2 linked regions of the Coturnix japonica genome follow. The protein of the gene in region 1 purifies or fractionates together with the protein of each later gene. This does not show direct contact. Links are inferred from orthologs where the notes say so. Each region holds a gene or a part of one and is shown in the gene's direction. Other genes may lie near its edges.

Region 1 (3,258 bases):
GCTGTGTTTCAATCATAGGCTTCTTACTGTGATTTAAGGGTTATCTGTGTTATCTGTTATCTGCCTTTCATTTAATGTTTCTTGTTTGTCACCCTAGGGAAGAACAGTCATTATTGAGCAAAGCTGGGGGAGTCCCAAAGTGACAAAGGATGGCGTGACAGTGGCAAAGGCAATCGACTTAAAGGACAAATACAAAAATATCGGAGCCAAATTAGTTCAAGATGTTGCCAATAATACAAATGAAGAGGCGGGAGATGGTACTACTACTGCAACGGTACTTGCACGGGCTATTGCCAAAGAAGGCTTTGAGAAGATCAGCAAAGGAGCTAATCCAGTGGAAATCAGGAGGGGTAATTCTTTCACCTATGTTTTCAATATTTAATTGCTAGCTTTTTCCCTTTGCACATGCTAAATCTGTCTGGTTTCCTCAATGAGTTGCCTTTTGTTGTAGAATCAAATGGGTTTTTTCTGTGCTATATGCCTTGTGTTGTTCACTGACAAGTATTCCACTCGTCTCTAGGGGTGATGCTCGCAGTTGATGCCATCACAGCTGAACTGAAGAAGCTGTCTAAACCAGTTACAACTCCAGAAGAAATTGCACAGGTAAAAACAAACGAACAAAAAAACAACAAACACATAATTTGACTTCAGAAAGTTTTCTGAACTCAGGTTTGGATACAGAACAGCTGAGTATTTGTCTTTATGTGTTGGGGTTTGGAATGTATCGCATAGAATGATGTCCATGGTAACCCATAGAATGAGTTGTTTGAGATGCCCAGTGTTCTGTCTTCAGGTAAATGTTGGTTCAGAACTAGGCAGTTTGTTTTAATCAGGATTGTTTTCACAAAGTAACTGTAAAACATTAATGTGATTATTTGGAAGCAAAAATGGCTATTGGTGGGTTTGGTGATGGCAGACTTGCGGGAGCATTTGTAACACATCAGCTGTGGGAGGTTCAGGTTGAGCCTGATGCTCTGCTGTTTGTCCTGCTGTGGGCGTGTTGGGCTTTGAGGCTCATTTCCTCTTGTGGCTGCAGATTCAGATGTGTGTGCTGCATGAACCCAGCGTGTGGGGTATAGCCCAGAGCTCAGGCTGCCGCGAAGCCACAAGCCATTGTATCCATTGTATTGTTCTGGTGTGGATGTGCTACTGTTCGTTGTTCTGTGCTGTGGTTTCATTCGTTTATAGTAAGGAAACAAATGATGAGTACTGTGAAATGAGTTGAAGCATTTTGCTTTTTCAGGTTGCCACGATATCAGCGAATGGAGATCAGGAAATCGGCAATATAATTTCTGATGCCATGAAAAAGGTTGGAAGGAAAGGTGTAATCACTGTTAAGGTGAGAGCTGTCAGCATATGGACCAAGAGCAATTTATCCGCATTTCCAAGTTAAGGTTGGCATTTGTGGCATGTGATGGAGCTGCTCACATACAGTAGTACCCTCCACAACTCTTCTGTTCCCATCTCTTTTAGATTAGGGTTGCATCAGTCTTAATTAAAATTGTTTTCCTTTGAGATAGAGCACATGAAGCAGATGTGGTGCAGTTTTTGTGCTGTGGTAATGTTGTGACCAGATCTCTGATAAGACTTTCTGTATCTAAACAGGATGGAAAAACTCTGAATGATGAATTAGAAATCATTGAAGGTATGAAGTTTGATCGAGGCTACATATCTCCGTATTTTATTAACACAGCCAAAGGTGAGTTAACAGAACTGTGTGTCAGGTACCTTAATGGCTCCACTGATGTTAAAATGGTGTGTCTTAAAACAGGCTGTTATGCTGCTTAGCATGACAATAGGATGTTGGGGTCCTTCCCCTGTCAGAAACATGGCAAAAGCTTGAAAGCTGTTTATACTTTTTATACTTCTCTGCTAAGTGTGAACAGTGTCTGTGCCACCATTCAGCCGGCCCCGCAGCATTGCAGATAACAGAACTGGAAGTCTTAGAGGACAGCACTGGGGGTTTTGTGGGGTTTTTGGATGTGTGGTTGTCATTATTTGTAGGGGTCTTTTGTTTGTTGTGAAGTTAAAAGATACAACAGTAGTTCTCAGGCTGCACAGTAAGCTTTAGGGAAGGCTGGATATGCTTTCATAACGAGATTGCTCAGACAATGCATATTGCTTCTGCAGGGCAGAAATGTGAATTCCAGGATGCTTACGTTTTAATCAGTGAAAAGAAGATTTCCAGTGTACAGTCCATAGTTCCGGCTCTTGAAATTGCCAACAGTCACCGCAAACCTTTGGTCATTATTGCTGAAGATGTTGATGGAGAAGCCCTCAGCACTCTGGTCTTGAACAGGTAAGGTTTAAAATTCATACTTTGACAGCTTTGGAACAGCAAATACTGCTCTTTTTTTCCCTCCTGCATTTTCATACTTCTGAAGGAATACATAGGAAAGCATGTATTTGAATTTTCCCAGTACTAAGAAGCAACAACTCTTACACACTGCCATGGCTGATATTGCTTGGGCTGAATTTCAATGGTTTCTTCAGCTACTTGTTTGATCAACAGCAGCTCAGTGTATAAAGATCTTGTTTGCTTGACTGTTAGATTTGTTCCAAAATAGTTCATAGCAATGAGGTTTGTTCTGTGAACACATTGGCAGTACTGCTCTCAATTATGTTCTTCAGGCTCAAGGTTGGTCTCCAAGTTGTTGCTGTAAAAGCACCAGGTTTTGGTGACAACAGGAAAAACCAGCTCAAGGATATGGCAATTGCTACAGGTGGTGCTGTAAGTAATGACTTTTTAATTGGCTTCTTCCTTTAAGAAACACCAGTGTTATTTAGGGAGATTAATAGTTTAGTTTTAGGTCCCTGGTTTCAATTTGCTGTGTTGCAAGCTGTTTCTTGTTCTTCCAAAAGGGTAACAGTAACCAATGCTTGAACAAGTACAAGAGCAAATATGGTGGCACTTGCTGTGTCATACAGCTCTGGCCAGCTTGGAGTAACAGGTGGCTATAAGCGGCAGGGTTTCCTTGCAGGATTTGGGTTCTTATAGGAGAAATGTCCAAAATAGTTCTGGAGGAAAAAGCCAAATATACTTGCTTTCTTATGACTTGAATTAGGATGAATGTAATTGTTCTGAAGGTTAAGAATAGACTGGATAATTTAGTTACTTCTACCTTACAGCTGTGTTTAGTTTTACTACCTCAGTTCTAGTGTTGTTGATGTGCTTGTTACTCTCCGTTAATACATGCTTTTAATACGTGCTTCAGAATCATAGCATGATACTGGGATTCAAAGCTGGTTATTGAAATA
Region 2 (4,235 bases), on another chromosome or scaffold:
AGCATTGGTGCTTTCCTTCTTTCATACACAAGCAAGACAATAGCTCAGCATTGAAGACTTAGCTGTTACTACTACCTAGTTTCATGGGCATCACTCCTTAAAGACAGTGTAAGCAAAGGGTAAGGTCACTTACCTGTCATCTGCCTGACTACATGAAGAATGATCTCTACCAGGGACAGGGGATTCACCCTAGAATGAAGAACTTGCTGTCAGAGCGGTACTTGTCAGCAATAGGTTGTCTACAAACTTCCAGGCAAATAAACTCACCTGTGTTCAAACTCGCTGATGAAGTTCTCATAAAGCTGTGGGTACAGAGATATCAACAGTTAGGGAAAACAGATGTTTTGTTTGATTCACAAACCTTATGAGCTAATAGATACTGAAACACAATGCCTCTCTGCAGCCCTGCCCAGTGTTTGCTTTCCATTAGCAATGTACAAATGGCATAGGCCTGAACTCAAGACATTCTCCAAGTCCCTCATACACATCCCACAACTAAAAACTAGTGGCTCTTCATTAGGGAAGCCCTTACCTCAGGGGATACTGAGCTTTAAAACAGACACAAAGGGAAAGTGGGGAATGAAGGAGGATATGGTAAGCCCCTATCTTCATGAAGACCTTGACAGAGCATATATGAACTACCATCTCTGCTTTGTAACTATATATACTGCATTCAGCCCATCCTGTACTTCCAACAATAAGCCATCTTGTTACAAAAGGGAAAGAAAAAACACACTACACCTCCCGTCTGTTGCTCAGAGACGGCAGAGCACCTCACCTTGATGAGTCCATCTCCTTGTGCAAAGCACGGGTCCTGCACAAAGTCCAACACTTGCAGTGTCAGCTGGTGCCAGAGCCTTCAAAACACAGAACCACAGGACTATGAAGATTAGAACAGACACCTGAGGTCAGGTCCAGCTCCAACCCACCCTCATCACTCCCAATGGCCACATCCCATCCCCACGGTTCTCCAACACCCCCATGTGCAGTGACTGCAGCAGCTCCTCACGCGGTGCACACATTCACCTCCATTCTTCCTTTACCACAGCGCAGGCCGAGTCCCCCTCTCTCCACACAGCCCCAGTCCCTCCTGCAGCCCATCACCCCGGGTTGGACCCCGACGTAGCCCCCCCCATGTCTCACTTCTTATTGTAGAGCTCCTCCAGGCGGTGCCACACCGCGGCCTGCCCCGGCCCCGCGCTCTGGCTCTGCTGCAGGAAGCCCGGCACGTCCTTCATGGCGGCGGCGACCGCAGCAGGCAGCAACGCCGAGCACCGGGCCGCCCCCGCCGGATATGCACACTCACTTCCGGCGTGCCGCGGGGTACGATGGGTACCGGAAGGCCTAGCGTTGCCCGGCCCCTCCCCCCCCACACACTCCCCCTCGTAATTATGGCAACGGGACCTTGGGGCGGGGGGATCGGTGCTGTGCGGCGGGTGGTGGCGGGTGAGGAGCTGAGGGGGGGCAGTGGGCCTTGATGGGGGGAGTGGGCCATGATGGGTGCTGGAGGAAGCCTGAGGGGAAGGAACGGGGCCTGAGGGGATGGAACGAGGCCTGAGGGAAAGGAACGAGGCCTGAGGAGAAGGAACGGGGCCTGAGGGGAAGGAACGAGGCCTGAGGGGAAGGAACGAGGCCTGAGGAGAAGGAACGGGGCCTGTGGGGAAGGAACGGGGCCTNGGAACGAGGCCTGAGGAGAAGGAACGGGGCCTGTGGGGAAGGAACGGGGCCTGAGGGGATGGAACGAGGCCTGAGGGGATGGAACGAGGCCTGAGGGGATGGAACGAGGCCTGAGGGGATGGAACGAGGCCTGAGGGGATGGAACGGGGCCTGAGGGGATGGGGAGGAACGGGGGTAAGGAAGCAGGCCCCAGGGGGAGCCTGAGGTAGGGAAGTAGACCCTTAGAGGAAGCTGAGGGGAGAACAGATCCCTCGCTGTTTGCTGACTCTGTGTTTTCTTGCAGCATGGAGGAGCCTGTGGGAGCGTGGTGGCCTGGCTCGGTTCTACCCGCAGTGCAGGACTGGCTGTGGGCTATGCAGGTAGGGCTGGATGGTTTCATGCAGAGCTGGTGTGGAGAGCGGCACCTCTCCTGTCTGAAGTCCTGTGTGTCTTTGAGCCTGAGCTGGGAGCTGAGAAACAAAGGACAGAGAAATGTTAACGTTTGCCAGCTTGTGAAATGAGCTCTGTGGGAATCTGACCTGGCACAGCCCAAACCACGTCCTTGTGGTACCAGTGTCAGCCACGCTGAGCACGTTAGGACACAGTAATTGCTGTTTGCAGATTGCCAGGATCCAGCAGCTCTTGGCTCTTCACATTCTCACACCTTCCCTGGACTGCTTTCAATATCCTGCTGCTGCAAGCACTCATTGTCTGGGGAGAAAGTGTTCCTTGGGATGATAATGGGTGTTCTCAGCCCCATCTGTATGCACTGCTGACCTGCAGTTCCTTTGCTTTCCAGCTGCACACAGAGCTCTCCCAAGGCAGAGTCCCTGGGGTGAGATAGAGAACTGGTGAAATGTCTGTCCTAATCCAAGCAGTGCTGCTCCAGAGTGACCACAGCACCCTGTTAGAAGTTTCCTGAGACCCAGGGCATAGACAGGGCATTTCCCTTTCTTATAGGGAAATTTGGTGTGTTTTAACATTGATTTGGTATTATTAAGATCTAAAATCAGTTCAGTGTTCTGGAGTAGACTTAATGCTTGAACTTTCTCCTAGTTGAGCTTTCTCTCAGCTGAAGTCTCTTTCCCCACACAACCGACTGTGCTTTCCCTCTGTTCTAAGCAGGGTACAAGGGACCAAGCCCTTCTCTCTGTCTGCTGCCACCAGTGCTGTTCTAGGACTGGGCAGCTGGGGAGGTGACAGTGGGAAGCAGAAGCTCACCCTGCAGGATGTGGCGGAGCTCATTCAGAAGAAAGAGTGTCGTCGAGTAGTGGTGATGGCTGGTGCTGGGATTAGCACCCCCAGCGGCATCCCAGACTTCAGGTACTGCCTTCATTGTTTTATTTATCTTTGATTAGTGTTGGGACTATCAGGTTCTTCAGCCTAAGCCAAGAACGTGGCTCTCTGCTCTTTTGTGTCCTGGCTTGGTGGGTCGCTTTCCCCCTGTGTTCTGACTGCCCACCTTCCTTTTCTCTCTGCAGGTCCCCGGGGAGCGGCCTCTATAGTAACCTTGAGCAGTACAACATCCCTTATCCCGAAGCCATCTTTGAACTGGCCTATTTCTTCGTCAACCCCAAGCCATTTTTCACTTTGGCCAAGGAGCTCTACCCTGGCAATTATAGACCCAACTACGCCCACTATTTCCTGAGACTCTTGCATGACAAAGGGCTCCTTCTACGTCTCTATACTCAGAATATTGATGGGCTGGAGCGAGGTGAGTTTTCTCCAGCTCTCAGAAAAAGCTGATAATGAGAAGCAGAACAGGAGGACTGGGAATATGCCTGTTGAAGATGGAGTTTCTGGTTCAGTCGCCTCATGCTGAGCTGATCCTCTCCCACCTGCTGTGTTCCAGCTGCTGGGATCCCTCCTGATAGACTGGTGGAAGCCCACGGCACCTTTGCTACTGCCACGTGCACAGTCTGTCGGAGGAAGTTCCCAGGAGAGGACTTCAGGGTGAGTGAATGCAGCTGGACATTGACATGAAGTGATGTTACTGTGAGGGTCCAACATGGTTGTGACCTTGTTTGTGTATATATGTGCTGCCCCATATCAACTGGCATTGGGTGCTTTTACTTCAGGGAGACGTTATGGCAGACAAGGTCCCTCACTGCCGTGTCTGCACTGGAATTGTCAAGCCTGACATTGTGTTCTTTGGCGAGGAGCTTCCGCAGCGCTTCTTCCTGCACTTGACAGACTTCCCCATGGCAGACCTGCTCTTTGTCATCGGAACGTCCCTGGAGGTCTGGGACTAGGGGGATGTCCTTGTTCACAAGTTAAAAAGGGCCTGAGGGGCTCTGGAGGAGAGAGAGGGGTTACGGAAGGCAAGAAACTGGGTTATCAAGGTAAAATTGGAGGCGGCAGGAAATAGGGTGTATGCACACAGAGGCTGCATGAAAACTTTGTGTGCTCCTGGTGAAGGTGGTGCAGCAACTTGAGCAAAACATCCATGACCAGTTCAAAGCTGGGGTAGCTTAGCCTAGCCCATGGTGGGAGAACTTGTTAAGCACGAACCCAGCAGTTTGGAGTCCCTGAAGTTTAGCACACAATGAATTGATCCCTGCAGTGAGGTGACCACCTTT

Evidence for each region. The genes of interacting proteins can lie anywhere in the genome.
Region 2: the proteins of HSPD1 (region 1) and SIRT3 purify together in Homo sapiens (affinity purification with mass spectrometry; 3 studies listed by BioGRID and IntAct, counting the BioPlex papers as one, with this or other methods). This does not show direct contact. The link is inferred for Coturnix japonica from reciprocal best matches to the Homo sapiens genes HSPD1 and SIRT3.

What each region holds. Positions count from the first base shown.
Region 1 is NC_029522.1:10,966-14,223, forward strand, and holds part of HSPD1 (60 kDa heat shock protein, mitochondrial), read left to right. Parts: intron 1-97; coding exon 98-350; intron 351-520; coding exon 521-603; intron 604-1,243; coding exon 1,244-1,339; intron 1,340-1,605; coding exon 1,606-1,699; intron 1,700-2,130; coding exon 2,131-2,299; intron 2,300-2,631; coding exon 2,632-2,731; intron 2,732-3,258. UniProt on the Homo sapiens protein: Chaperonin implicated in mitochondrial protein import and macromolecular assembly. Together with Hsp10, facilitates the correct folding of imported proteins.
Region 2 is NC_029520.1:1,387,422-1,391,656, forward strand, and holds the start of SIRT3 (NAD-dependent protein deacetylase sirtuin-3, mitochondrial), read left to right. Parts: upstream 1-1,342; 5' UTR 1,343-1,391; coding exon 1,392-1,446; intron 1,447-1,841; exon of another isoform or gene 1,842-1,960; coding exon 1,961-2,036; intron 2,037-2,778; coding exon 2,779-2,979; intron 2,980-3,137; coding exon 3,138-3,370; intron 3,371-3,508; coding exon 3,509-3,609; intron 3,610-3,734; coding exon 3,735-3,896; exon of another isoform or gene 3,897-3,998; intron 3,999-4,235. Other genes in the region: PSMD13 (26S proteasome non-ATPase regulatory subunit 13), read right to left, coding at 134-189, 268-302, 779-857, 1,144-1,238.